Rhinolophus ferrumequinum: one gene and its partners. The protein of the gene in region 3 purifies or fractionates together with the protein of the main gene of each other region. This does not show direct contact. Links are inferred from orthologs where the notes say so. Each region holds a gene or a part of one and is shown on either strand. Other genes may lie near its edges. The genes, in order: RREB1, BCL11B, HDAC2 and DDX5.

Region 1 (6,962 bases), on a different chromosome or scaffold from region 3:
TTCCTAAAATAAGCAAACTTTGATTCTTCCACAGAAGCAATACAGGTTCATTGTTAACATCTTAGAGAATAAATAGACGAAAACAATTTTTTTAATCTCTCATTATTCCACTTTTTCAACTCATTGTAATCTTCATCTACGAATGCATCATCTCTTCTTACACATATATGCACATTTTTATTTTTTACTGGTGTTTCTATTTAACTTCTGAACAGTTAAACTTAAACGTCATCTAGGTTTTGTCCCCAACTAAACCATATTAGACTCGACTCTTTTAGTAACATGAATATGCTTCTCTGTAATCTCCAGAGTGCTGAACACAATTCTGTACACAAAGTAGGTGGCTAAGATAAAGCATATGTTCATTCATGAAAATATTTTGGGGGTGGCAGTGAGTAAATGGTTACAAATGAGCACTGTCCAAAATAATCTATGTGAAAACCTGATACATAGACGATTTCTTGAAAAGTGCCCAAAAATTTATGTAACAAATGTTTTAAATATAGAATACTTCACAATATTAAGGACCCTATTGTTAATCCTTTTTAAATAGATATTAATTCCTTAATTTAATTTGCTTTATAAATATGATCTATAAATAAAATCACCCTCTATATAAATGTTTCATGAATTCAGATGAAATTTGGGGTTGGGAAGAAGGGATGGGAGGAAAAGGGAAGTGTGCCACTTCATTTTTAACTTAAATTTTCAATTCATTTCTATAGCAACTCTTCTGGTTTGAACCAAGACTCTAAAGCCTAATTATCTCACAAAGAAGGAAATCATGTTCCTTAACAGAGTGACAAAATCTAAGATCATGAACATGTTCTTTTTTTTCAAACTTCCAGAAAACTTTTGTATAACCCTGCCATTTTCATTCAGAATGCAAGACTATTCAATGTATGGAATTTGTCAGCTTTCAACTATAGTTTTTCCACAGTTTAGGCAAACATCATAAGTGAAAATAATGGCTTTTGCCGGTTGAACTGAAGATCCTGTATCTAGAAAGTAATGTAAAAAGTCCAGTCTATCACCCCAAAGAAGACCAACTATTATTATGATTATTATTCTCATTCTACTAATGAGACAACCCAGTGAAGTTTAAGAAATAAAAGCAAACTGAGGATGGTTAGATCTCCATAAATTTTCACTTAATCCAAAAGATTATTTCAACAAAATAATCTTTTACATATTTAGAACATGATTCAATTTATAAAGATTCAACTTACTAGTTTTTGCTTCCTATGAAAATATACTCTTTAATGCAAAATACATCTCAGTTTAGATTTCTTTATTTAGGGTTGCCTTGGAAACAGAAATTTACATTAATTCCAAAGTCAGCTTTTCAGATAATTCTTAAGATCTCACACTTTTTAGAGGGTAACACACCCTTTTTGCTTCTGAATGAAACTCCAGCAGCTACACAAGTTTCTATTTTAGGCTTCATGCTTCTTTGGGCCTTGCATCCACAGCCTGGTCCTGCACTCTGTGACTAAAGTCCACTGGACAAAACCAACAGGAGGAACAATGGGACAAAATTCAGGAAAAGTGCTCAAGAAGAGTTTGGGCTGCAAACTCAACACGATTCAGCTTTCTCTCTGCAGTCTCATCTTTTATTATTTTTTCCTTGACTCTGCTTGTGTCACCAGCATTCAAACCCAAAGCCCATCACTTTTAAATCTGGATCCCTCCCTGTTTCAATCCCATGTTTGGGTGTGAAGTGCCACTGTGCTCAGGGGGGAACTGACTGGCCTGCTGTCACTTCTTCTGCTTTGAGGAGGATTGGGGTTTTTGGTGGGTTTTTTTTCCTCTTCTTCTTTTAATAGAGGCCTTTTCATGTTTGTTTCTCAGGCAGTTTCCAAATTACAAAACTGTCACTGTGCCCTGCTCCTTCTAACTCTTAGGATACCAACTTCAAACCTTTGTATCAACCAAGTTTGCGTTTGTTAAGAACTCTGGTAAATTTATGGCAGCCTGGGCCTGCATTTGGGAGACTTGAACTCTAACGCAAAAACGTTTATGTTCTCTGGACCAGTAAAAAACGAACACGAAACAGGGCAAAAAACTACCTCCTCACCGGCCTTCCTTTCACGTTTGGTTCAGTAATAAGAAGTTAATCCACTCCCTAGTGCAACTGCAGCCTCCTCTCAGTCAGCCTCACCTAGAACATTCACTGTATCATTGCATCCAAGCCAAACTCGGTTACTGAGGCAACTAAGTTTTTCTTCCCAAAGGGTCACAGGGAAACATCCCTCGGGATTCCCTGGTAACCGTCCACCGATAAAGCTGGGGAACCACAACAGCAGAGACTCGCTTTCCAAGGCTGGCTCTGGCCGCGTCGGCCCGCAACCGGGGTGGAGGGGGTGCGTGGGGGGTGCGTAGCGTCCAGTTACATTCCTGACCCACTTTCGCATCCCCTCCCTCCCCCTCCTCTTCCTTCTCCTCCTGGGCAGGCCGCGAGGGCTCCGGCGCTAGAAACTGCCACCCGCCAGTAGTCCCCAGACTGCCGCGGGCCGGTGCTCCCACCGTCGGGCTCTGCCGGGGACCCAGAGACAACCGGCCCCCGCCACCATCCCCGGCTTCCCCTGCGCGGCCCCTCCCTGGTCACGTGGGCTCGCGAGCACCTGTTGGCGACCTCAGCCCCCGGCGGAGCCCCTCCCGCCGCCCCTGGCTAAGCCCCCTGCCGGAGGGGTTAGGAACACCGCCGAGTTCCCGTCGCGTTCTGCACACCCCGCTTTCCTCCCGGAGGGCGCGGAGGCCGGCGGGCGAAACCTGCCCAGACGTTCAGCTTTGCAAAGTGCAAAAGCGCCACGGCCGCGCGGCAACTGGGTGGAAGGGATCCTCCACGCCCTCCATCGCCGCCCCCACCCGGCAGAGCGGGGAGGTGGGGTGCTCCCGCCCCCAGCCCGCCTCCGCTGGAAACCTGGGCTCCTCACGGACGCCGGGAGGGAGGCTGCCGAGTCAGGCGGGGGCCGCAGGGGCGAGGGCAGGTAGCGGGTGGTGACGGGTGGGTGTGTGTTCCGAGCCGCCGAGTCCAGGAAGGGGGCGGGAAGCTGTCGTCTCAGCTGCAACTTCTGAGCGTGCAGAGCAACTCAGCAACTTTGCCTGCGCCGCGCCCCTCCCCCGCGCCGCCGGGCCGGGGGCTGCGCTGCTGCGCCTGGGGGCCCCGGCGCCGGGCCCCGCAGGGGACAGACCGGGGTACTGGCGAGTATGAGGGGGCTGGGCTGGGCTGGGGCTGCAGGAGTGGCACAGCTGCCCAGGGGGAAAACGGGGGGTGCGCCTCCACGCGCCCCAAGCTTAGAAACGCCGCGCGGTTCCCGAGCCGCGCACGCCCCCCGCGGCCCCCACCCGGAGGGGCTGGGCGTGAGGAAGGGGGCGGAGGATGGCGGCGGAGCCATGGAAACTGTGCGGGGTGGATAAATAAGGAGAGGGCCGCGGGAGGCCGTCCGCAGGCTGCCAGCATCTCGGCGGCGGATGCAGCGTCCTGGGAAGCGCGGCCGAGCTCGCCCAAGTTTTTCCTGCCGCCCCGTAGCCCCCTCCGGGCCAGGGAAGGGGGGCGCCGCCTGGAGAGCCAGGCCCTAGTCCGGCGGAAGGCCGGCGGGGGAGACCAGCCCCGGGGCAGGGAAGAGGGCTGCGAGGTGGTGGGCAAAGGCGAGTGCGAAGGTGATTTGGCCCTCCGGGGGTCATTGGCTGTTTGTTCCCGGCACGAAGGACGGCGCGAGGCCCTGGCCGGTCCCGTCAGACCGGAGAGCTTGGGGGAACCCCCAGATCCAGCGTCCAAAAAGGTGGATACATCCAGTTCAGATTTTCAGAAGCGTCTGAGGGGCTAAACTTGGGCGTGCGGGGGAAGATAGGGAACCTGGGGCAGCCTGGGGTGGTGCACGCTGTCCCTAAGTCATGCCCACACCCCCTCAGGAGTCGGATTGTCAAGATGGAGAGGATGTAATTGGGCAGATTTGGGCCGGGCTGTGTACCCATGCATAGGGAGCCTGAAGAGCCTGGCCGTCCACAGCACCCTTTCCCTGTAAACAGATTTACTAATCCTCCCAATTCCCCCCAACACTCACAAACGTCATCTGACTCACTGTAGGGTTACTGACGCTTTACGCCCAAGCCTATTGCTTGTAAAGTGCTAGAGATTTGAAAGGCGATGTTATGAAGTTGAGTCACTTCGGGGTGTGAGGCCTCTTAGAGGCAAAGCGGTTACTTCAAGTGAAAGTGAACTACCTGCGTGCCAACCGGCTGAATAATTTAATTACATGCCATCTTAATTTAAAGAGATTTACATGCTCACTGAACCCAACTGGTCAGTTAAATTCTGATGTGGACCTGGAAATTAGTTTCTAACTGAACAAGGTCTATTTCACACCCCAAACGGGTGACCAGTATTTCTTCTCTTCTCTTTTTAATTCAAACTTTTTAGTTCTTTTACTTCTTAATAGGAAAAAAAAGCCTTTACTCTGTCTCTCTGAAATAATTGTGATAGCTCTAGACCAGAGCACTGTTTTCTAGAGTGTTCCAGAGAACACTAGATCCTCTGTATGTCCAGGGATGATGTTTGAAAAATAAAAGGGGGGTGGGGGACTTTGCGGTCATATACCACATTTCATTGATTCCAAGATGCACTTATTTTTGAGTTTTAACATCCCTGATGTCATATTTGATGGCGTCTTAGCATTAAGCCCTATTGGCAGTGGTTTTTTTTCCTTAGTGGTACATACAATAAGGAAGTTTGAGAAATGCTGAGTTAAAGAATTTATTTGTTATACCACAGACACAAAAATGCAATATATAGCTTTATAGCAAGGCCTTTCTGAATCTTCTGTGTGCTAAGGTGTTTGTGAATCACCGACAAAAGGTTGTAACATGCAAACTTTCCTAAATGTATTTGTCCAGTCACCAGTTTTTGTGAGCACCATTGCTTAGGACTGGTATTCCTTTCAGGAAATGCTGTAGGGCTTGTGCCAGATTTGAACACAGTTAAGGGAAATGTTCACTTTCAAATTGTACTTGAGTATAACTAGGAGTCATTAAATGATAAACTAGATTTAGTGTCATTACAAAAAAAGAGATCATTTGGGGAACTATCCAAAGGCAGAAAAAACTGTTCATATTCGGCTACAGTAGAAACTGAATCTGGATCATCTTTAGGGAACTGGTTCCAGTGAACATACAAGTCATCAGAAAATTCATGTGTCTGATATATACAGTTGCTGTTACACTACCTCCTGCATTAGTTTGATTTGTAGAAGTTAATAAAAATGCCTTGTTTAAATAAGACTGGCATTAAGCTATCAACCAGTTACTCCAAAAAATCCCTCCAAAAGATTGTTATGAAAAAATAAAAAATGGTGAGTGCATAGAAGTATACTTTTAATTAGAAAAAAAGAGAAAGAAGCATATAAAAATTTCCAAATAGGATGAAATTTAGCATAGGAAAGAAAAAAATGCATGTTATTCAGCCCTTAGCAAAGGTTAGAGGCAAGATCAGATTTTTATGAGTGAATACAATCTTCTACTTGGAATGTTTCAAACACAAATAATAACATTTAATGTTTTTAATATAAAAGATGCATTTTCAGGTGTGAGCTCATTTCACCATATAATAATCTTACAAAGTAGATGGAACAATCATTCTGACTCTCAGCTTGCTTACCCATCCATTTGTTTATATATGAGGTCTGACAATTAAGTTTACAAACTTGTTGCAACGATGTTGCTAACCTTTTTTGATATCAGAGGGATTATGCACTATGAATTTGTACCAACTGGACAAACACTTAACCAAAATTACTGTTTGGAAGTGCTGAAAAGGCTGCGTGAAAAAGTTAGACGACCTGAACTTTTCGCCAACAATTCATGGCTCTTGCACCACAAAAATGCGCTGGCTCTCACTGCACTGTCTGTGAGGGAGTTTTTAGCCATAATCAAATAACTGCATTTACTTAATCAAATACCTCTCCCTACTCACCTGATCTGGACCCCAATGACTTCTTTCTTTACTCAAATATAAAGGAAATATTGAAAGGAAGACATTTTGATGACATTCAGGACATCAAGGGTAATATGGCTCTGATGGCCATTCCAGAAAAAGAGTTCCAAAATTACTTTGAAGGGTGGACTAGGCATTGGCCTCGGTGCATAGCTTTCCAAGGAGAGTACTTTGAAGGTGACCGTAGTGATATTCAGCATTGAGGTATGTAGCACTTTTTCTAGGATGAGTTTGTGAATTTAATTGTCCGTCCTCGTAAGTGTGTATCAAGTACCTACCAGGTTCCAGGCAGGACATGAGACTTTATCATAGATGATAGATGAATATGAGAAAATACCCCTCTGCAGAAGTTACATCTGTTAGGAGAGATGGATAAGTAAGATAAATAATTGTAATATAGTATGACATTGAGGCTTAGAAATGTTAATGACTTACCCAGGAGAATTAGAGTCAGGATTTAACACATTTTAGGATTTCAGATACCTTGCTCTCTTCTATAATAGATATGCTCTCATCTTTACAAATAACATCATGTAGATAGATACAGTGTTTGAAACAACTGAACATAACATCAAACATGTTGAATCTTAAGAGTCAGAAAGAAATTTAGAGATTACGTAGGCTAACCCACTTATTTTTCAGGCCTAGAAATTGAGACAGAGAAGAAAATGGATTTGCTTAAGGTTACACAGTTATGTAAGGACCGAATTAAGATTAGCATCAAGGTTTCCTGACTCCCAACTCTTTGCATTGTAAAGTGCTGCCTTACAGTAAGAGATAGTGAGAAATAGCCTCAGCCGAGTCTGTTTCTCCTGTTATAAAGTGTGTGGGCCCATCTTAATAAAGGCCTAGAGTGATTGTAAAAGCTGTGATAAAATGCCCCGTGACTAAGCACTTACTTAAAGAAATATTTCTAAGAGGAACTGCAAGGGCATTTCAGCTATGTGAGTTCCTTAAAAACAGCCACTAT
Region 2 (7,522 bases), on a different chromosome or scaffold from region 3:
GGGACAGAGCTAGGAACATTCAATGTGGGTGTGAGTCTTTTTCATATACGAAGAGCTGGGTGAAGCATTTTTTTAAGGAAAATAATACATGAATCAGGAACAGTGACTTTGGTTTAACCCCTTGCAGGCTGCAGCTGTAAAGGCAGGAGGCAATGGTGCCTCTTAGATTTCCTAGGACGTACCTATGCTTTATGTAGTTAAAAAATACTCGGAAATCTATGACCGTATAAAACCCAAGTATTTCTTGCAGAAATAAGGTACAAATGATGACGTGTTTTAACAGAAGCAATGTTGCAAAATTCAGTACCTGGAAAGAATCAACCAAGCAATTGTTGGGAGGCAGGTTTTGTGGTCCTACCTTTGCTATGAGATAACAGTGCAGAAAAGCCCCTCCAGATCCAGCAAAGCCTTAATAGAGTGCTTCTGGCACTTAGAAATTTGCTGTAATTTTCAGAAATGACATCAAATAATTCTAGAAGATATGCCAGGAAGCCCTAAAGACCTCTTTTGTCTTTTTATGCTTCTGGATTTGATAGCTCCTAGAGATTCTAGAACTGTAAGGAAGGAGTTAAGAGCCATCTTGGGGGCCTTATTAATGTGTACACAAATAGGATTTACTTAGTGCCTCCATTTCAGTTTCCTCAAAAGTTAAAACAAGTCAATCCACTGATCAGATCGATGCAGTTTATTTATCCTTCTCTTCTCAGTCAATAGCGTTTATAGATCCCGAGGAACAGAAATTAGCAGTTTGCTTCTGAGTCGGCCCCACACCTGTAAATGCCAAAAGATTCGCGTTCTCTTTGCACAGCTTTTCTGCAGAAACATTGGGGGTTCCCATTTCAACTGACACTACCCATCTCAATTCTTTCCAAATTTTTGTAAAGACATAATATAAAATATAACAGCTCAGAAGGCAAAGATACCATTACAGAATCTGGTACAGAGCCCTACCTCAGCTAAGAGTTAAGTTATCCGTTGGTTCAAAGAATTTTAAACAAGAAGCCTGGCTGGGGGGTCATGTGTCTGTATCATCTGCCCCCACTGCATGGTGTGTTATATGTAGCACACATAGGGAAGCAGAGCCCCACACGTTAATAAAAATGCATCCTGATTTGATGCATTTCTGAACTATTCTTCTACAAAGAAATTTAAAGTGATTGAGAATATGGGGGATTATGTGCTGGAGTGCAAGGTGAAGCTAGAAAAAGAAGAGCAGGGAAATATTTGTGAGTTCAAAAAGCTTTTTGACATCTTTTTTTTTTTTCAATAGTACAGAAAATGTAGCATTTCTTTCCATCTAATTTCAGTTTGCACAAAGCCCCAGCTCGGGGCCCAGCACACAGTAGGCCTACAGCAGGTGCTGGAGAAGTAAGTGTGAAGTTGTGTAATATTTAGGACCATATGTTCATCTGCACTTTTTCCTTTATGTATTCACATGTTAAGCACCTGCACCTCCCCTTCCCCTTTTTGGCCAACGGAGTGACTTTTATTCTAAACAAAGGATTGGTAGTTCAAGGGGTGGTGTGTGTGTGTGTGTGTGTGTGTGTGTGTGTGTGTGTGTGTCCAGAGTGACCTTCTCAGAAGGGACTGGATCCTCTGTCTGCCTGGGGTCTTGAGGAAGGGGTAGGGATCCGGCTGTGGCCCGAGCCCTGCCACCCCTTCTGGCCCGCCGCCTGTTCTCTGGGCATTAAGAGAGTGGAGAAATTTTAGTGTGGGCCAGCTGCCGAGGCCGGGAGGGGTCGAGGGAGAGGTCAAGGTCGGAGGAGAGGCGGCTATTGATCCGGTTTGGAACGCGAGACTGGGAGCGCAGCAAGACTAAAGGGGGAGCTGTGAGACCAGACATTAACAGCTTTCAGCGCTAATGACGCCCGCGCCAGACGGGCAGAGGGAAAAAAGGGAGACTGGAGCGGCAGCTGGGATCGCTCGCTGCCTGCTCCCGGCCGCCTCCCGGGAGAGAAGGAGGAGGCGGAGGGCGAAGGGGCCAGTGCTGGGCTGGGCAGGGCCAGAGCCGCCTCTCCCCGGCCGCCGCGAGATGGAGCGCGCTGGCAGGCGGTGGCGTGTCCGGCCCTGCGCCGGCCCGCCCGCGCGTCCCTCTTCCCGCCGTCGGGGCAGTGTGGGGCCAATGAGGAAGTGCTCCGCGGTCAGTCGCGGCCCGCGCCGCCCCCTGCCCGCTACTTCCTGCCGGGGGTGGGGCGGAGGTGCCCCCCTCCCCAGACCTCACCGCCTGAGCGCGCGGGAGGTGGCAGCTGCAGCCCGGCCCCTGAGCATTCTGCGCAGTCTGCTGAGAGTCCCCTTACCTGAGGGGGTTGCCCCATTACCTCCAGCCCAGACCGGGTCCTCTTTCATTGTAATCAGCCCTCGTTGGGCAAGGGTCGAGGGTCGGGATTTCGCGCGCGGGGGCGCAAGGGGCGCGGGCAGCAGGCGTGTGGAGGCGATTTGAGTCGAAAGCTACCCCAAGGGCTGTGTGACCTTGGGCAAAACGCTAAACCGTTCTGGACTTCACAACGCCAAGTCTCAGAAAGAGCTGCTTTCCCAAATTTAAGAATCTGCGCGACTCGGGATGACTGGTTTATAGTTTTCTTAAGAAGTTTATTAAAGGTGCGTGTGGGCATTTTTTCTTAGGCCACTTTCCTGGAAAGATTTTAGCGGTGGGGCGGGATGGGAGGAGAGGGAGGTGCTTCTAGACTTTGGACCACGTGGAGATAGGGTGAGAGTTGGGGCGGTGGGCAGCTGCGGGCAGTCCCCAGGGAATCAGATCCCTGATTCTCCTGGGGTGGAGAGTGCCGACTGGCCCTACCCCACCCCGCTCCACAGCCCAGTCTCCACCCGCTCGGCCCGCGACCCTGCAGCCTATCCGCAAAACTACATGCTAGGGCACATTTTATTATTATTTTTGGGGGTGGTTTGGACAGGGAGCTCTTTCTGTCCTCACTAATGGGCGCTGCGCTCTGTTAAGTTGTTGGTCCCGTTGCCACACCCAAGACCTTGGGGTTGAACAAAAACCCCGTGTGCCCCCGAAGGAAAAGGCCCCGAGAGAGGTGGCGCGCCCTGAGGCGTCACGGCCCAGCCCCTCGCTCGGATGAAGCCAAGGGAGCTGGGCCTGGGGGCGGGGTGGGGTGGATGCAGCTAAGCTCGCCCGCCAAGCCCAGCCCCGAGCCAGGCCCCGACCCGCCCTGGCCGCCTTCAGGCCCAGACCAGAGAAACCCTGAGAAGGGAGAGCGCTCTAGCTGCTTGGCGCGCCCAGCCGGGGAGGTCAGGTCTTCAAATAGACGAAGTTGGCCGTGGACTGGGGAGGGATCCGGCTGGGAGGGGCGATGTCCACGCGGACCACGACTTGGCCTTGTCCCTGGGCCACGGACAGGCCCCCCCAACTCCACTTGTCCTCGCCGGGTGCAGAACAAACGGCTGACAAGGCAGCTGTGTCCTTTCCAGTCAGACCGGCGATTTCAAGTCCTACCCTAGGCAGAGGAGCACTGGGTGGGTGTGTGGAGGGGAGGGCAGGGGGAGGCGTTACTACCAGGTTGCTGTAATTGTGGGGGTGGGAGGTAACAGGGGCACCCGAGTATCTTCAGAGATCCGGCCACACCTACTTCTGGGTCAGCACGTACAAGTTCCTCTCCCACATGGAGAGCCCCTGCCCCGGTACCCCAATGCTCCCCGCAGACCCTGGCCTTAGGGGGTGGGGCCCGTGTTTGACTCTCCAAGTAGTTAAAGGGGTGAGGTGGAGGGAGCGCATTCGAGTGAAGACTCCTCCGGAATGAGACTCAAACAAGGTCCACGTTCCTCCCCCCAAATGTGATCTTAATATTCTCCTCTTAGTATCTTTATTTAATGTTGTCCACTTCGCTTTCCCAGAGTTTGTAATGCCAGGATTTATACAGAGACACTTTTTGGAAGTTTAACCCTGATCCCCCAATAAAACAAAAAGTACAAACAACCAAGTGACTTTTCCTGGGTGATGAAGCAAGTGACCATCTCCCCCGGTCCCTGCGTCCACTCCAACCCTCTTGCACAGCGTCCCCCTGACTCCAGCCCCCCAAGTCCCACAGCTTTTGGTGGGTGGCTGGGAGTTACTGGCGTTGATTCAACTTACTTCCACACACAATGTACTCCGCCCCCCTTCTCAGGGGGTCCTGCTCCCAGGAGGGGAGGAGGGACAAGAGAATTTTCTTTTATTGAAAAATATCCTGCCCACCGGCTCCCCCGCCCCCCTTTTGCGCTGCCCGTGCACGAGGAGTAGATGAGTGCACAAAAACGCCGTTTGCAAGTGTGGCCGGCCTGATCTGCGGGTGTGCGCACGGGCGAGTGTGTGTGTGTGTGTGTGTGTGTGCGCGCGCGCGCAAGCGCCGCGCGCGAGCGTGTGTGTGTGTGTGTGTGTGTGTGTGTGCTTTCTTGTTCTCTTACAGGGTACAATGTTAAAAAGCCACCGCTAGTCGCCCCCAGTGCTCCGACTCTCTGGGTCTTTTTGTCTCTGGTGCAGATTAAACGTCACGTCCGCACTTGAACTTGAATTTTATCCCATTGTACAGAGGCAGCCCCAGCCATAGAGAGACCGAGAGCTCCCAGAGAACCCGGACTCCGCCATCTTCACGTTGCAATCTATAGCTCCCAGTCCGCGCCCGCACCGACCCAGGCGCACTGGGCTAGCCGCCCCTCAGCCCACCTCCCCCCGGGCCCGCGGCGCCAGGGGAGCGCTGGGGAGCGCTCGCGGGGACCCGGCAGCCTCTCCGGCCGGCGCCAGCCTGCCAGGTGAACTGGGAAGGAGCCGCTCCTGGAGTCCCCCCAGAGCCTCGGAAGGGTCAGTCTCCGAGAAAAAAACAGGCAGCCCGCAGAAAACCCAGAAACAACCGAATCCGGGCAGTTTTACATTGCTTTGGGTTTTTTGAGGGGGCGGGGTGAGGGGGGTACGAGACAAGTCCCCAAGTTTTCTTTGCTTTTTTTTTTTTTCTTTTTCTTCTCTTATTTTTTATTTGTTTGCATTTTTCTTTCCCCCACCCCCCTCCTGGTAGAAGTGCGCTTTCCACCTACCAGACCCTGAAAGTGTCAGGAGCCGGTGCAAAATCCGGTTTAAGTTCAAGAAGACATTTGGAAGTCCAGGAGGCCACGCAGTTTGAAGAAGTGCAAAGGATTTTTTGCTTTCAAAAGAATATATATTTTTTAAAGAAACCAGCCAGTCCGCGGCAAGCAACAGCAGATTTTTTTTGCCTCTTTTTCCTATTTTAGATCGAGAGGTTTTTATTTTCTTTTTCTTTTTGCAAAACAAAACAAAAAACAGCATAGAAGAAAGAGCAAAATAAAGAAGAAGAGGAGGAAGAGAGGGCAAGAGAGGAAGGGGGAAAAAAAAGAAAAAAAACCAAAACACCAACCCGGGCAGAGGAGGCACGGCGGCGGCAGCAGCGGCAGCGGCGCGGCGGCGGCGGCGGCGGCGGCGGCGGCGGCGGCGGCGGCGGCTCCGACCCCCACCCCAGGCTCCCCCCATCAGAGCAGCTTTCCGGGCGATGCCAGAATAGATGCCGGGGCAATGTCCCGCCGCAAACAGGGCAACCCGCAGCACTTGTCCCAGAGGGAGCTCATCACCCGTAAGTGTCTGCGGCGTAAGCGCGAGGGGCCGGAGGATGGGGCTCCGGGCGCCCGGGGCTGGGGACACCGAGCCGGGCTCAGCTGGGCCGGGTGCCGGGGCGGCCCGCGGGCTCCAGAGGCAGTGCGTCGGCCCAGAGCCTTGTGGGGGGCGGGGGGCCATAGGAAAGTTTCTTTGCAGCCCCGGGAGTCCGGGCGCTGCGCAGTCAGACGCGCCTCCGGCTCGGGGGCCTGCGGAGCGGGTGCCGGGCGGGAGAGGGGGCGCGCAGGCTGGAGGAGGTGTGTGTGTGCGCGCGGAGCCCGGCTGGACGCTCGCCCCTCCGAGCGGCGTGTGTGGCGGCGGCGGCGCTGGTGGCGGGGTTTGGAGAGGAGGGGGAGGGGGCTGGGGGAGCGGAGGGGGAGGGGGCAGCCGGGAAGTGGGGAAAAGTTGGCGAGCGCGTGGGTCCGTGCTGAAGGCTCGGGCGGAGGAGAGCGGGGTGCGCTGTGGAATGCGGGAGATATGGGGAAACGGGCGGCCGCCGGCTCCGAGTCCCCGGTAGCTGCACCCGGCGGGGCAGAGCGCCGGCCACACCGGTCCTAGGCTTCTGCAGCCGCCTTTCTCTCCCTTCCTCTATTTGCAAAAGAATCCAGCTGCAAGGCCGTTTGCCGGGCTCATGCACCCCCCCGCATTTCCCCACCTCCGCTGTCTCCTGGGATGATCCTGTCTTCTTTCCCCCACTCCAAAAAAGGTGGGGGTTTGGGGGCTGGTGAAAAATACCCGCCACGGGGGAACAAGGGTTGTCAGCCAGGAGTGGGAAGAGAGGGATGTGCTTGTAAAACAGTAGTAAAAAAAAAAAAAAAAAAAAAAAAGAAAGAAAAGAAAAAAAGAAAAAAAAAAGAAAAGGAGAGAGACCTATCAATCTTTTACGCATCCTTCTGTCTCAGTATCTTTCATCTTCTCTATCTAAATAAACAAGGCAGGTCGAAGTGGAAATCCACCGGCTGGGCTGGAATCTTGTGGATTTCAAGCCAGTGGCGGGGCGTGCAGTCAGGCAGCAGGGCAGAGACGCAGCAGCTTCCAGCGCCCCAATTGGGTTTATTTAGAGAAGGGAGAAAGAGAGCGTAAGCAGGCCAGGTACGGGGTGTGCAGGGGAGCTCGCCCCGGGTGCCCGCATAGTTGCACCGGGAAGGTCGGCTCGCAGCTCTCCCTGCCGGGCCGGCGGCTGCTTCGCCGCGCTCGAGCATTTCCCCGCGGTCCTTTCTCTTGCGGTGTCTGGGTCGCCGCTGCTATTTTTTTTATTTTTATTTTATTTTATTTTATCTTATTTTATTTTACTTTATCTTATTTTATTTTATTTTATTGCAATAGAAATAAAGCATCCTCTGGGTGCCATCGAGACCGCGGTGCAGGTTGTGTTCCTGCAATCCTCCCATCACCTAGTCAGGCTGGGGCCGGGCTGCCCGCGCGGAGCTGGAGAGGGCTGCGCACCCGGTCGCCGCAGAGGACTGGCTGCGGGGCAGCCGAGAGCCGAATATTTATGTTATATTTTTAAAAATTTAAATAAATAAATAAATATATAAAAGGGTTCTCCCCTCCCCTGAAAACCCGCCTAGGAGCCATCTGCTCGGAGCAGTTGCTGCTGCCATCTCTCCTTTGTTACAGCAGATACATTAGTAAGAATTTGTGGATTTATTATTATTTTTTGGGAAGGGGAATAGATATTAAGTGGGGTTCACCTTGGGAGAGGGATGCCTTTTTGGAGGGAGGGAAGAGGACTTCTTTTTTATTTTTCACCATTCTAACATGAAAGAGGACTCGCTGGTTGCATTTAAAACAAAATGTTTTGCAACCAGATTTGAGCCTGGTTTGATCAAGGTTCTTCTTTTTGCCAGTTGACATTTGTCCTTTACCAATAATCGCTTATTCCAATCCCATCCCCACCTTTAGATAGTGCAGTGGTGGTTA
Region 3 (7,878 bases):
GTTAATTTAGCCTAGCAAATTATTTGGGCCCTATTACTACTGATACTACGCACTCCCAATCTAATTCATGTTATATACCTTCGAGTCACAGAATTCTCTGGTGCAGAAGCTGCTTTACTTGCATCCTCTTTCTTCACAATTAAAAAAAGAAAGATACCATTACTGCTACTTTTATACATAAGTTGACAAAATAGTTGTTTTGGTAATAAAAATGTAAACTTTCGTAATTAAATGTGCAGAGCTTAGCATACTATCACATATTAATAATTAGCATGATGCCTATTCAATTTAATAATCTCTGCAAAATATTTTATTAGTCCTCCCAGCAACCCAAATATTCCAAATATAAGCAACTGCAAATTCCATTCTACAAATGAGCCAAGGAAGAACCATAGACTAAAGACAGTAAACCTAATCATTAATTTCCAAACATTCAGTTATACACCTGTTGTTGGCCATCAAGTAAAGCAGTTGAATGGTCTACAATAAAGTATTAAGTCACAATCACCAGGCTTGAATTATTTCCACTCTACCTATCAATCCTGCATCCTGCCCTTGGGACCAGTGCTTGCTCCCATTCCCTCAACAAAGGCTCATCATAAATGTGTCCAAAAATGGGCAGCTGTACACTTAACTGCTACTTAAGTGTACCTCTTTCTACAGTTCAAGTTTGGTGACAAGAAGTTACAAACAGCTTACTTCATCAGAGCCTATCAGAGTCAACAGCAACTAACAGCTTCAGGAAGAGTCTTAGCACTAGTTACCCCAACCTTTTTATAACTTTCTCTTTTACCCCAAGCTCCAACAAGAACCAATCTTTAAATCTTTGAAACAAGTTTTAAAAATTAACTTACATACCTGGTTATTTACTTTCCAATTTGATGAAGGAATTCAAAGACCAGTGTTTTACAAGTGACCCAAAATATGCATGAAGTATTAAAGAATGAATTATAAGAAACTTTAATAATGTTAAAATGTAATCCCATTTTCCACTCCTCCACGATGGCATAATTTCAAACCAATCTGTATTACACATAAATGGGGTCCTCTCAAAAAATATTTTTAAAACATGGCTGTTACTATTTTGGACTGGCTTCCAAAAAGTCAGATAATTTGGATTTCTTCTGTTAAGATTTTACATTTTTCCGTAAATGATACAGGTGGTTATTTTATTTAAAAAACAGGCATTAAAAGATTCATCCTTGCTAACTGAACTGATATAGTATGGCCGTTTTCAAATTAAAGTCAAATTTATTCTGACTCAGTCCCCTAAGGTCTTTCCACCTAAGATGTTGTAATTTATAATACACCTATAAGTAAGAAACAGCTTCCAAATTTTGTACTGCTTCAGACAAATTAGACAGGACTTTCAGGTCGTGAAGCCTAGCTTTGTTAAATTTTAGAATTCCTTCTCTGGAGAGTAACCTACTAATAACCATTTTACCATATTAATGTCTTTTTGAAATCTGTAGAACAGGCGACTACTCGATTTAGTCTCATTTAGGCTGGCTCAGGAAACAGGATTCAGAGATTTAATGTTACTGTTCCAACTCCAAATTAAAAACACCCCTAAAATTAAAATGACTTTTATTACTTACTATATGTAACGTGAGCTCAAGCTTACCTGATTATTTAGAACTTCTGCACTATTCAAAGTTTTCCTACACCAGGACTGCCACCACCTAGAAACAGTTTTCACAAGCAAGATGCCAATGCTCTCCTAAACCTCCAAAGCAGGGTGGTATTTCCTGATCGAACAAAGAGTAACAAAGAAGTGGGTGGTAACCACCTCTCAGAGGCAAGCCAAGACCCATCGAGTCTGATCAACAAAACAAGCAGAAACAACTCCACCTTTCCCTACCAACGTCGTATTTCCCGCGTAGACTGCCTCAAACTCGAAAACCCTAATTTTTATTGAGGAAGTGAAGCCTTTTCATTTGAATGCTGAGAAAGTGGCGCTCAAAGAACCCGGCGAACAAAGGAGAGGGATGGAGCCCATGCAAAACACCAGTGGGTGTCCTCACCCGGACGTGGGCCACCACCCTCAGTAACTACTTTGCAGCACTGACCCGGATCGAGGGGTCCGGGGTGAGGCTGGAGGCGGAGGACGCAGAAGGCACGAGGACTAGCAGACTCGGGGGGGCTGCGGGAGGTAGAAAGCAGCGCGGATGGGGGTGGGAAGCACAGGGGACTGAAGAGGCGGAGCTCTCGCGGCCGCCGGGCTTTGTGTGGAGCCTGGGCCGGGGTAGATATTTCGACCTGGGGGGAGGGGTCGGGTGCAGGAGGCCGAAGCAGGACACCCCCTAATGTCCTCTCCCAAGAGTGGCGGGAGTGAGAGACGCCAGGGAGGGCGGTCCCCGTCGCTACCACCATGAAGCTGGGGTAGGCCGACGCAGAGGCGGCGGACTGCACTGCTGAAGAGAGGGGCAGGAGGTAAAAGTGGGGCGTCCACCTGGCTACCGCCGCGGAGTCCCCCGGGGCCGCTAGCGGCGGAGGGGCTCCCACTAACAGCGTCGGGTCGGCAACGGGTTAAGATGCGGCCAAACATCGGTCCCTCCTCCTTCCCACCCCTCAGCACTGGCGCCCACTCGCGACGGCGGCCTGAGAGCCCGGCGTGGTTCCAGGCCTGGCGCCCCAGCCCTGCCCGCCCACCCTCCCGCCGGCCCGGCCTCTCACCATCGTAGTAGTAGCAGACTTTCTTCTTGCCGCCTCCCTGACTGTACGCCATGGGCTCCCCGGCCACCGCCGCCTCCGGGCTCCGGCTCCTCCTGCTGCTGCCGCCGCGACTCGGCGGGGAGAAAAAAAGGACTGGGGCGAAGGTGGGGGCTGGCAGTCCCGCGGGGAAGGGCAGGCCGGAGGGAGGAGACAAGGGGGCGCCACGAGGGCTCGGTACCGCCCGGCCGAAGGGCCGAAAGCGCGGAGCAGGGGTGGCAGCGGCGCCAACTCGCGACACTGGGGAGGGGGAGGGGTAAGTCAAACCACCTCCGGACGCGGAGGGGAGGTGGGACGTGTCCACTGTTGTCTTCCGCGGCGGGGAGGAAGGGGCAAAACTAGGGAAAGAACGCTCTTCAGTCTTTGGATAAAAGCCCTTCTGTTGGTGAACAACTTTCAGAGGGTGGTGGAAAATACAGTTGTAAAGTGAAAAAAAAGGGAAGGGTTTCGCTCAAGTAGATAAAAGGAACTTGGAGTGGGGGAACGCTCCCTCCTTCAGATCTTCGCACAGTGGTTGCGCCTATCCTGAGCCTGCGCAGTCGGCGCCTCCCCAACCGAAGCCTTGGCCGCCCAGACCCCTTTCGAGTTGTCTCTTGCCGCTCCCATCCCCCACTGTCGCGAAGCTCCCGCCCTTACCGACCACGTGCTGTAAGCCAGGCGGGGAGAGACCACTTTGGTACCCTTCCGGAATCCACGACCCTCCAGTCTGTCCCCCACGGCCCTTCTGTACTGGGTCACCTCGGTTTTCTTTTTGTTCATTTATTATTTGTGGTTTTTTTTTTTTTGTACCAATAATTGCACTGAGGTTCTGACCTGTTAAGGGAACCTACGTATCACAGACGTCAAGGAGTATAGTGTACTTCCTGGGTTTGAAGGAGCATTTATGGAACTCGCTTATGTGTTAGGCTCGGGTCTAACCATTGCATTTATAATGTATTTAATTGATTCCTATTTATAATAAATAACCTGTTAAGTCATTTGAGACTTGCAACAACGCAGAGACATATTTCTATTCCTTTATACGTACGGATTGAGGAACTTGGTGGTCTCAACTGTTGATGATCTGGGGTTTGAATTCAGTTTTTCTCCCAAATCCACATACTTTAGCTACTCCACTATAGTGCTGCTGGCTGGGCACTGGAAGTCTGAGGCAGAAAGCTAAGAGAAAAGATTGGAAAAGTTATGAATATCTGTGTCCCTGTGTTCAACAAGTCAACATTTATCAAGCAGCTACTCTAAGCCAACCACCTTTCAGATAAGGAGTGGGGGTCTGACAGTCTGCCATGTAAGCACTCTTATCCCAACTATATCATTTACAATTTTCTCCAAATGCACACTCTCTCCAACACCCTCATTAAAAGAAAAAAGGCCTTATTGAAGTGGGAACCATTTGGAGCCACCACCCAAGATACCCCTTTATTTTACTATTTGACTTCAAAATCCCCAACGTGGTCACATTAAAACAGCAGTTTTCCTGGACCTCACCCTGAAGACATTTAGGAAACGAAATCTACCGTAATCCTCCTCCCCTCCCCGCAATTCTGTATTTTAAACAGCACATCGCAGGTAACTGATGCAGTTGGTACCGGAAGCACAGTGTGAGAAACATCAGCTTAGAGGTAGTAGAGTTAATTGCATGGTATTGACTTTTAAAGTTTTGCTATTGTATCAAGTCCCAAATCAGCTTGGTAGATTCTAAGAATAGAATAGGTTAATTTAGTAGAAACTAATGTTCTTCTCAGAATCAACTTAGTGAAGTCTGAAATGAGACTTCACTCAAGAAAGTGAAGAAAGTGAAGCTGAGTCAGGGAGCTGACTTTACTCCTTCCCCCAAGTCTGTTTTCTGTGCCCCTAACATTGTAGTTGTGACTTGTACCCCTCTACTTCAACATTTACCATGTTATAGTTGCCCAAAACTTCTCTTAATGTTCTCATTAGACTAGAGTTTCAGGAGAGGAGGAAACATGTCTGTCTTGCACAGAATTGTATCTCTAGTGTCTATGACTGGGGGCAAGTTACTTAAACTTTTTTTTCTGAATTGCCTTACTTGTAAAATAGGGCAGTATTACTTGGAGAATGGTTTATTTTATACATATTGAATAGTTTAAATAAGAAAATAAATATGGAATAGTTTTAAGAAATAAAGAGCTATGAATATGAGATTATTATGATTACTAATAATAATGGTAGTAATAATTATTGTTTGCATCCACAGCACCTAACCTTTTACTTGTGAGAAGAACCTGGACACATATTTTGATTGGTTGAGGAACTTATTATATTGTTTATTATTTAATAATTTTAAATCAAAAGAAGCATTTTACCATTGGAAGCTGGCATTGGAGGAGTTTAATCCAGTGATAAGAGCAGGCCACAAGCATTATGTCCCTAAACATCTATAATGACCTTTAGGTCATCAAAAGTAGAATCAGTTATTGAACCTATTGACAAGCTCCGAACTTCATTTACCATTTTCAAACTCTTCTCTCTTAAACATTTTTACCATTTAAAAAAAAGGGAGTTTTAGACAATATACAGAAGAAAACAAAGTGATAGCGTGGTCCATTCATAAAATGCATAATTGAGGATTGTCTTTATTCTTAAACTTTTTTTCTTTAGTTCTTGCTCTGTCCATATGAACTTATTTTCCCAACCTTGAAGATGTTTAGTTTTTCTGAGGTTATTCAGTGAAATGATCCGTTAAACATAAATGGATTATTTAGAAATAGGACTATAGTCATGTACCACTTAGCAATGGGGATAGGGTCTGAGACATGAGCCATTAGGCAATTCCGTGGTGTGGGAACATCCTAGCGTACACTTACACAAACCTGGATGGTATGGCCTACCACACACCTAGGCTCCATGGTATAGCCTATTGCTCCTAGGATACAAGCCTGTACAGCATGTTATTGTAGAAAACGACAGGAGATTAAATCAAGCACAAGAGAAATGATGCAATCAAGAGACGCGGTAAACATGAGATGTATGAAAGCTGCTGCCAGCATAACTTGGCATATTGTTTTATAGAAAATTTTTTAATAAGTAGAAAGAGTACACTCTAAAATAATGATTAAAAGTACACAAGTAAACACAAAAACAAGTAACAGTCATTCATCATCATCATTAACAAGGATTAGGGACTAGGTAGTTGTATGTGCTATACTTTGATGTGACTGGCAATGCGGTAGGTGTGTTGACAGCAGCCTCACTACAAACGCATGAGTAATGCATTGCACTACAACATCACTAGGCAATAGGAATTTCTCTGCTCCATATAATCTTACGGGACTACCGTCATATATGTGGTCCTTCGTTGACCAAAACATTGTTATGGGGTGCATGACTGTATTTAGAAACGGATTGTCTCAGCTTACGCGAAAAATTAAACCCTGCTATCAACTGCAGCAGATAGGTCAAGTTTTAGTTGCTATAAAAGAATTATAAGCTTCTTTCTACTCTAAAGAAATTTAGATTTCTTGGTGTTAAGTTCTATTTAGCAATTCCACAAGGCAATACATAATGTAGAGAAGTGTAGTAGCTAACAGTACAGTGTTGTCACAAACTACAACAGCCTTGAGCTGAATTCTGATCTCAGAAGAATTGTGCCTATTTTTGCGCAGTATTTATTACAAGCTGTAACTCCTAAATCTGGATAGTAGCACCAAACTGTGAAGATTCTAGTGCTATTTTAACTGCATTTGTGTAATAAAAATCACCCATTTTCGTTAAAAAATATTTTTGAATCACAGCTCATCTACTAAATTACTCATTTACATTGAACTTTTCAAGTTGCCCTGGTTAGCTTGTTAATTGATAAATGCTTTGCCCGTGACCCTTGTAGTATTACTTTGATTCAATCCATCTCCGTGTACCCACTTTTTAGTAAAATTCTATACGCACACTGTGTCTGGGAAAACTTAACTTACTGGTGTTTCCTAATCATCCTATATATGTATCTTAATACTTCTTTCCTATCTCAATTTTTAAACTTTCCTTACTAAAAAAAATTTTTTAAATTTAGTGATTACTAAATCTAGTAATCACTCCTCTCCACTGAGCACCAGAACTGTGCAAATGGAGGTGGAGTATGTTGGGGCCATCAACAGGAATGCCAAATAACAGGAATGGTGGAACAGGAGGATAGGGAGCATGTTCCTTGAAGACCTCCTTTATATCTGTACCAAACCTGACTGCCCACCTCTGGACTTCTGGTTTTATTCAGGAAACAAACAAACAAACCAAAACAGACAGTACATTTGGTTAAACCACTACAGTCAGGATTTTGTTATATGCAGCTGAATACAATCCTAACTTCTGTAAGATCTGAATTAGAAGTTAGTGGCTTCTGATAATGTTTACTAAGAGACTACAGGTGTCTGTTGGGACACAACTCTCCATGGGTTTCTGAATTTCCTGAGAGCAGAAGTACTTTATGTCTTTTGTTCCAAACAATCTGATCAAAGATGTTTGTATAGTGAACAGCTTTGGAAGATAGAGAAAATGACTCCCTGTGAAACAAAGGGCAGGCATGCATGCCACCCATAATAAAAGATTCAGGTTCCCTAAATTCAGGGTTCCTCTCCTGTTAGGCAATCCATTGCAAGTATGGATTTCATCTGACCCTCTTCCTCTTAGCCTGCAGGAATTGGGACTCAAGGCAGCAGCACAAAAGATAATACTGATACTCTGGTCACTGCTATTGCCATGAGTGACAAATTATCCTTTGTCTTTAACCCAGGAGTCTTGTGCCTTATGCTAGCAACTATGAAACTGTGGCTGGCTAGCTTGTTAGCTTGCACATAGGGTAAAATCTCAGCCCCTTCCTATTTCTTGACAGTTTTTGTTCATGAGACTAGCATGTTGAGAGGGACTGAGCTTTCTGAAAAAGTAAGGATGAGGGCCTTATCAACCAAGTTACTGAATTTGAGGCAAGTTAATGAAAATTCGTAGCAAGCACATCGACCAGATTGTATGGTTAACTGGAAATTAAGTGACCCTCCACTTTATTAACTGTTAATGAGGAGGAATTTGTGAGGGATTTGCAGGCTAAATACCATGAAATAGGTTTATAGGCAGATACCTGCACAGTGTACTGGTTGTAACTTTCCTCCAAGTGAGGAGACTTCTTCACCATGTTGGAGACACTGCTAACCTGCGTACTCA
Region 4 (7,461 bases), on a different chromosome or scaffold from region 3:
GATCTCAAAAGTTCTTCCAAACTTACAGACAATGTTTTCCCAGATCCAGTCTGTGCCACTCCAACCATGTCCAATCCACTTAGAGCAACTGGCCATCCCTGAGCTTGAATAGCAGTGGGTTCAGTGAAGTTCTGTCTGGCAATCACATCCATGACGTTTGCTATGATTATCAACACACATTTAGAAAAATCAGTAAGGCCAAGAAAAGGGAATTTTTTTTAAAAAGGACAAAACTCAAAACTAGTACTTACCAGGAAAGTTTGCTTCATAAAAATTCAGAACTGGCTTTGGGCAGTTGTGACCTCTAACTGTAACTTCCTTGCTTCTTCTGTATGTCTCTACCTCTTGCTACAAAACAAATAATAATCTGGTTAAGTCTTATGACAACCTCCTCCAACTAAATATGCAAACAATAAGCCCCTAATCTTATAATTGATTAGGTACTTTAACATAGCCATTTTAATCTGAATCCATGTGATGAAAACCCTACATGGCACAGAAAAATGTCTATTGTGTTATATTCTACCATGCTAAGTAGAAAAATTCAGAGCCATTTATTTCCAAAAGTGAGTAACACCTCTTCCCCAACTAATAAAAAGGCATGATTTCCCACAACTTGGTCATTTGCCAACACTTTTCTGGTCAGATTTTGATTTACTGTAAGTCACTAAGTTAAACCTGATGAAGCCAAAGAAAATTACTCACCGCTGTGCGCCTGGCCAAATCAGGGTGTTCTTGATAAAAATTTTTCTCAAATTTTGGCAGCTCATCAAGATTCCACTTCTTTTTAACTAATTTCTCCCCAGGGTTTCCAAACTTCTTTCCTGATAGGGGCCCTGCCCTACTTCCTCCAAATCGAGGTGCACCAAACCTGCAATTAAAAAAAAGAAAGTTACGTTTTCAAACGTCTATGTAGGAGTTTATATACACTCTAACTTACTATTCCTTGGCACACGCTAAATAAAGATGGATGAAAGACTTCTGGAGGAATAAGACCTAGCGCTGTCCTTAGTGATGATCATTCTCTCCAAACCACAATTAGCACCCTTCTCCTTTTCCCTGTTGTCCCAAGTACACGCTATTAAAGCCAAAAAAACAGCCCAGGATTTATCAGGTCGGAAATTGGCTGCCCAAGCACCAAAAGCTCAGATTACAAGGACAGACAACAGCTTGTGGCTACCGGTCTTTCCCACGAGCTTAGGAATTAAATGTCTGAGAGAAGGACAATACAAGAAGGGAGGAGCTTATTAACAGCGATGTTATTTACCAGCTGTTTCCAAGCAAAGGGTCTTTGGTTTCAATGGATAACGGGACAGCACAGGCAGTGAAAGCAGAACAAGCAAGAGTGGTGGTCTCGGGGACACTTATACAAGCCAATCGACTAGGGAGGAACCGCGGAACGGCTTCCGATCAAGGTAACAAAATTATATAACGCAAAAAAAAAAAGAGGAGGAGGAGCTGGCGACTACCAGGGGAGGAGTCCCGGCCCGGGCGGAGTCGGCCGGGCGGCGTTCCCGCTGGGGCGGCGCTTCCCCCTTTGTCTCGCATTTCTCTCTGCGCCACATTTTCTCGACGCTGCCATTTTGAGCTCCTCCGCCGGGCGGGGTAACAAAGGCGCCGGCGCCATGTCCGACGCCGGCATTTTGTACCTACGGCTCAGCCACATGGCCGATTACCGTGGCGCCGGCCACCCTCCTGCCCCCGCCGCATCAATGGCTTTCGAAGCGGCCCTCTCGGCTCCCCAAAAAATCCCCGAGACTCCTAAAACACCTCCCAAAAGGTTGCACTCAACAGCGACAACTTCGTTCTCCTCGAAGCGTCGCGCTTTCCTCCCCTCACAACACACTCAATTCTCGCCACAACTGCTAAATCGCCGAAGCCCCGACGCTCCCAAACAAAAAGCGAGACTGAGGACCGTTTCTAGAAAAATCTTTCCGTCAGTTTTGGACAAATAACAAAATGGCGCAAACTTTCCCTTGAGGAGGCCCAAAAAACGGCTGAAAAAGCCAAGTTCCCATCGCTACCCACCCCTCGTTCTTTTCATTGGCCTCCCATCCCCCACCCGTGGGGCCTGACAGGTCAGTTCCCCCACTCACCCTCGATCCCGACCGCGGTCTCGGTCACTCGAATAGCCCGACATGGCGTCAATGATTGCGGTTGGCGGGGAACGAAGTGGAGAGAATCTGGTGCGACGAGTCGCTGTGGAGGTGGCTTCGGCAAGCAAAGCCTTGCGGGGGCGGCAGCGGCGGAAGGACGGCGATGACAGGAGCCGGAGCTGCTCCGCAAGAGACCGATGGAAATGAATGAGGTGCCGGCCGCGTCCCGGCAGCCGGTTTTATAGGCTGGACCGCCTCCTCCGCCGCAGAGAATGCTGGGAGCCGCTCTATGACCTAATCACCCCGCCCCTGCGCAGAGGCCGCAACGCCCGCAAACGTTCCGGAATCCGCCATGTCCTCTCCCCTCCCCCACTGTCCCTCCCTTAGAGTCGCCCGTTTTTTGCCCTTTCCATGGCTGGGCCCACTCACCACCGGAATGCCTCAGCCTACACTCTCTTTGACTTCACCTTTTTCTCGTCTTTCCACACCTCAAGGAAGCTACCCCGCCCTTTTCAGGTCCAGCACAGGCTATAAAATGGCCAGCACAGGGCAACCCACTCGGTCCACTTGGAGTTGTTTACGTCTCCAAACAGCGCTCACGCCCAGAACCATACGAGACAGGAAGGCGGACCCTGACATTGTCACGTGGCTGACCCCGCCCACCGGGTGAGCGGACCGCACTACTTCCTCAGTTGGCGTCCGCGGAGGAATACAAAACGAAAAGCTCACCGGAAATGCCGCGCTAATGCCGCGCTAACGCCGCCGGGAGACCGGCCCCGGCTGTTGCGTGACCCGCACTGTCAAACCCACCCACCTGAGAGTCGCTTAGCGCGATCTTTCGGGAGGAGAATGGTATCTAGAGCCCCCAAACCGCCGCCTCGGCGCGTGTTGCGAAAGGAAGTGCTCCTCTGATGACCAATCAGTGGCGAGAAGCCGTTTTAACGCCCTTCCCTCTTTCACTCCTCCTACCCTGCACTTTCCTGTCGTTCCCCCTCTCAGCGCTGTATCGGCTTGTTGCGGCCCTTTCAGGACACCGTCCCCCGCGCGCTCAGCTGCGAGTCGGGCGGCGACCTGCTTCCGCGACATGGCCAGCTCAGAGGCTGGTGAGTCTCAACCTGGAATCCCGGTATATGTGGACTAAAGCGGGCCAAGTCACCGAACGCCCCTGCCTATTATATCTTGAGACTTCAGGCCGGCTTCAGCTAGGTCTGGGCTGCCAGCGGGGCTCGTGACACACACTCCGTCGTAGTAACAGGTTACCTGGAGTGTCTCTTAGCCCACTTCGCTGTCCGCTTGGAAGCCGTCGAGCGCGATTTTGGGGGTCGGGGAGAGAAGGTCTCTGTGGCGAGACCTGTAGTATGCTTGCATCCTGGCTGCAAAAAAGGGCAGTCAAAAAGTTTCTTCCCCGGACTCCTGTTTCTCTGGGGTATCTAGCCGCTTTCAAGTGCTCTTTACTCTTGCATTGTGGGGACTGAGGTAGTACCGGAATCTGTATTGAACTTTGGAGGAATGGCACTCTTAAGATCTGTTGATGCCCCTACCAAAGGAAAATAGTGGATTTTTGTCTTCGGTGCCCTCTGGAGTTACCGGCTTTGCCTAGCCTCGCTTTTGAAAAGCGCATTGATTTGGTTGTCTAGGACGCTTTCATCCTTTTCTCTAGAACAGCGTTCAGATTAGTTGTGATGGTTTGGTCAGCTGTGAGAAATGAGTATGGGGGAGAGGGAGATGATGTGCCTTTAAGAGACACACACGTACACATTGTTTTCTGGGAAGAGGAAGATAACGTGCCTTGAACACACAGTCACACATTTCTAGAACATACTGAAGACAATCGAATGCAGAATAAAGGAACTTTACCTTTAATCAACAATCATTTCAGGGAACAAACGTTCTAAGTTTTCTAAATTACCTTCGGTCGAGAAACTCTTGAAATAATTTTTCTAATTCCAACGATATCTGGGGTGGGGAGGGTCGTACACAGGAAACTTCCACAGTATCGGTAATGTGCTAATTCTGGATTTAGGGACTTTTAAATAAACTTTCCGTATTTCCTTTCATATAGTCAAATACAAAAAAACTAACAAGTGCAGTAGTGTTGGTGTCATTACTCCAGTTCTTAACAGCCTAAGTTAATCACTACCTATTTGGACACCAGAGAAATTGTTTGCATAAGATAATTGGGTAAAACCATGACTAATGCTATTGGGAATTTGAAGCAACATCCATTAGTAGTTTCTAGTAGCCTCGGATTATCTTGTTTGGGACACAACGTTCCCACTTACCTGTAAATATATTATAAATAAAAACACCTACATATGGCTTGTAAAATAAGAACCACAGTAAATAACTTAAGATTTTAGGTTGCGACAGTCAAAATTAGATTTGTATTCCATTTTTGACTGCACGGAAATTATTGCAGTCTGGAAGTCATCCCAAGTAATTAATTAGATACATCTTTTCAAAAATCATGCCTAGGAGGATCTTTGAAATCCTATAAAAGTCAAATTCCTTATCTTCTACAAAATTCAATGTCTGTTTTTGTGAGGGGGTTTTTTTTGTTTGTTTTTTCAGATTATGACTTTTTCTAGTGCTATTTAAGGCTGACCTTTTCCTTTTCTCTCCCAACAGAGTGGGTAGCCATTGCCAATAACCTTCTTTTGAAATGTCACATACACCTGAGAATACATGAACTAGAAGATTGTGATGCTAATGTCTTTATTGCTTTTTATCAATCCATTTTGGGAGAAAAGGTACCAGGTAAGGGTGCGAAAAAGTGGGAGTAATAATGTCTATATCTTACCCCAGAAGTTTCTAGTGCCTTTAAGTGAGATCCTATGGTATTTATAAAATCTTGAGTTTTCTCTTTGTCTCCATTTTATTTCTATCTAATTATTGCATTCATTGCCTTAATGAATACTTTATGAGACCCACCCCTAGTAACAGCCTTGGTCAAATCAGTTTGACGGGTCTTGGTTGTCACTGTTTAATCATGTTTGATGCCTTGTGAAAGTCACACGTTTTCTGTGACTAAAGGTTCTAAAATTGAGTGGAACTTGGGAACTTGTGCAACCCTGTTGCTTAACCAATATTACAGATTAGAATTGATGTTTGTACTATATCCCTGGTTAAATATCTCAGAGTCCTTATCCATAGATTTCTCTGCCTTCATTTCTTCACATAAGAAATGTACCAAAATAAGCTCTACGTAGTCTCTCTTCCTTTCCCACTGTTACCATGAGTCCCTCCTCACTTCCTGGAATAATGGAATAGCCTCTAGCTGGTATCTTTGATGCTAGTCTCAACCCTCTTTAGCGTCCCGAGGTATATACAAGTACTTATTAGGCCAGTCTTTTAAAATACATTTTCATCCTTCCCAAAAAACATTCATCTTCTCAACACCAGAGGAGGAACTCAAAATTTAAGTTGATATTTAAAAATCCTTCTGCACTCAGGTCTATACTGATCTTTTAAACCTCTATGCCAATAATTCTTAATAGGGCCCTTTAAAAGGACATACAGTAACCCTCATTTCACACCTGTTGTTGTTTTTCTCTCATGGAAAGCAGCCCACGGTTATAGGTTAGTAATTGCTGCCCTTACAATCGTATTACCATCTTGAATTTAGGGATTTTTTTAAATTGGGGAATATTGGGGAACAGTGTGTTTCTCCAGGGCCCATCAACTACAAGTCGTTGTCCTTCAGTCTAGTTGTGGAGGACATAGCTCAGCTCCAAGTCCAGTTGCCGTTTTCAATCTTTAGTTGCAGGGGGCACAGCCCACCTTGTGGGAATTGAACTGGCAACCTTGTTGAGAGGAGAGCTCTCACTCTAACCAACTGAGCCATCCGGCCCCGAATTTAGGGACTTCTTTCTCTTCTTTAGTGTACTACTTAATGTAGAGCATGTTCATAAGTTTATTCAACCATATTCAATCAATAAATATGCAACCAATAAAGATTCTGTGTGGAATTCAGGCTCTATTAACTTTATCTGTACTTTATAAAAACTGTTCTGTTTGGGCAGAGCTTACTTTTGTAGCAGTTGAACTTATCAAGAGCCTGGTCCGAGACAGATAGATGAAAACTTGGACCCTCACAGATGCAAAATTAAGGAGCTTTTCCTCCACAGACCTCATAGCTATTCCTAAGAGTCAAGAGGATGAAGCTCACAATGTACAAGCAGTAATCGATTCACTGGCCTTGGATTACCTGCAGGTCAGCTTGTCTCACATAACAGGTTGGTATATACTTCATCTCCAGATAATTTTGCATTTTACAAAAATAACTTGTTAGACAGAACCCAGGACATTATTTAATTAGCCAAATGAGTAAGCTTGTGAAATAGACCAAATGGCAAGACTGAGCCAAGACAATCGATTGAGTATGTATAGTTAAGGCAGCCATCCTTGAGAGCTTTCCCGGGAGAGTCAGACATTGAGTTTATGATGGATCTCAGTCAAAGTCCTAGAGCTGGTAGTTGGAGGTATGTTTTTTATTGTTGTTTTGTTATTTTAAAGCTACCATGCTACTTGTCTGTAGTAGCTAAAAAATTAGAAACATCTAAGTGTCCATTCGTGGTGACAGGTTAAATAAATTATGGTAGCTCCAGGGAACTACTGTGCAACTATAAAAGATGATTGATTATGTTCTTTATGTACAATGTTCCATATTAGTGGGACAATCACCATTATATATTGTGTGAGAAAAATGTGGTGCAATTACAATGATAATATGCAGAGTATGCTACTATTTGTAAAAGCAAAGGCGGGGAGAACATTTATGCAATAGATTTCATGTAGAACTCTCTAGAAGCATATACGAGAAACCTGTAATACTGGTTGCCTCCAATAAGAGGAAGTAAAGGGCTGCAGGACAAGGGTGGGATGAGACTTCATTATATACCTTTTGTAATTTTTAAATTTTGAATCGTGATTATCTATTCAATATAAATAAAACTACAAATTATTTTTTGAACCTTTTCCCAAAATAAATTATTTTCAGCTAATGAACAGAAGGAATCTTGGGAACTTGAAACTCAAATCACTAAAAGAGGGTTTATACTGTTGATTTATTCTTTAAAGGAGATAAATGTTAATCAGGATAGGTTATTTACATCTCTTAATTTGATACTGACAAGAACAAATTTTTGCAAAAATACTGTCTTAAGTTTTTGAGTGCAGTTTGGGAGAATAAATGTAGTAAATTATTTTGGAGATGATTCATTTTGAGGGGTAACCGTGGGGTTTTCCTGTTCTTTTGCAATTTAGAATTGCTTTATCACCAGAGTAGGGCAATTTCTGGTAATTTGTGCTTTTAAAACATACTATATGGCAAGGTAGTGTCCGCTTATAGAACTTCTTACAGTAG

Evidence for each region.
Region 1: the proteins of HDAC2 (region 3) and RREB1 purify together in Homo sapiens (affinity purification with mass spectrometry; 4 studies listed by BioGRID and IntAct, with this or other methods). This does not show direct contact. The link is inferred for Rhinolophus ferrumequinum from reciprocal best matches to the Homo sapiens genes HDAC2 and RREB1.
Region 2: the proteins of HDAC2 (region 3) and BCL11B purify together in Homo sapiens (affinity purification with mass spectrometry; 4 studies listed by BioGRID and IntAct, with this or other methods). This does not show direct contact. The link is inferred for Rhinolophus ferrumequinum from reciprocal best matches to the Homo sapiens genes HDAC2 and BCL11B.
Region 4: the proteins of HDAC2 (region 3) and DDX5 purify together in Homo sapiens (affinity purification with western blotting; 3 studies listed by BioGRID, with this or other methods). This does not show direct contact. The link is inferred for Rhinolophus ferrumequinum from reciprocal best matches to the Homo sapiens genes HDAC2 and DDX5.

Annotation. Positions count from the first base shown.
Region 1 is NC_046292.1:86,823,882-86,830,843, forward strand, and holds the start of RREB1 (ras-responsive element-binding protein 1), read right to left. Parts: upstream 3,016-6,962; 5' UTR 2,924-3,015; intron 1-2,923.
Region 2 is NC_046289.1:4,906,929-4,914,450, forward strand, and holds the start of BCL11B (B-cell lymphoma/leukemia 11B), read left to right. Parts: upstream 1-4,508; 5' UTR 4,509-5,521; coding exon 5,522-5,579; intron 5,580-7,522. UniProt on the Homo sapiens protein: Key regulator of both differentiation and survival of T-lymphocytes during thymocyte development in mammals.
Region 3 is NC_046286.1:65,450,341-65,458,218, forward strand, and holds the start of HDAC2 (histone deacetylase 2), read right to left. Parts: upstream 3,013-7,878; 5' UTR 2,729-3,012; coding exon 2,677-2,728; intron 1-2,676. UniProt on the Homo sapiens protein: Histone deacetylase that catalyzes the deacetylation of lysine residues on the N-terminal part of the core histones (H2A, H2B, H3 and H4).
Region 4 is NC_046304.1:42,882,562-42,890,022, forward strand, and holds the start of DDX5 (probable ATP-dependent RNA helicase DDX5), read right to left. Parts: upstream 3,019-7,461; 5' UTR 2,911-3,018; intron 2,719-2,910; exon of another isoform or gene 2,526-2,718; intron 2,276-2,525; 5' UTR 2,141-2,275; coding exon 2,097-2,140; intron 872-2,096; coding exon 706-871; intron 349-705; coding exon 252-348; intron 161-251; coding exon 27-160; intron 1-26. Other genes in the region: CEP95 (centrosomal protein of 95 kDa), read left to right, coding at 3,181-3,199, 4,725-4,853, 6,224-6,331. UniProt on the Homo sapiens protein: Involved in the alternative regulation of pre-mRNA splicing; its RNA helicase activity is necessary for increasing tau exon 10 inclusion and occurs in a RBM4-dependent manner. Binds to the tau pre-mRNA in the stem-loop region downstream of exon 10.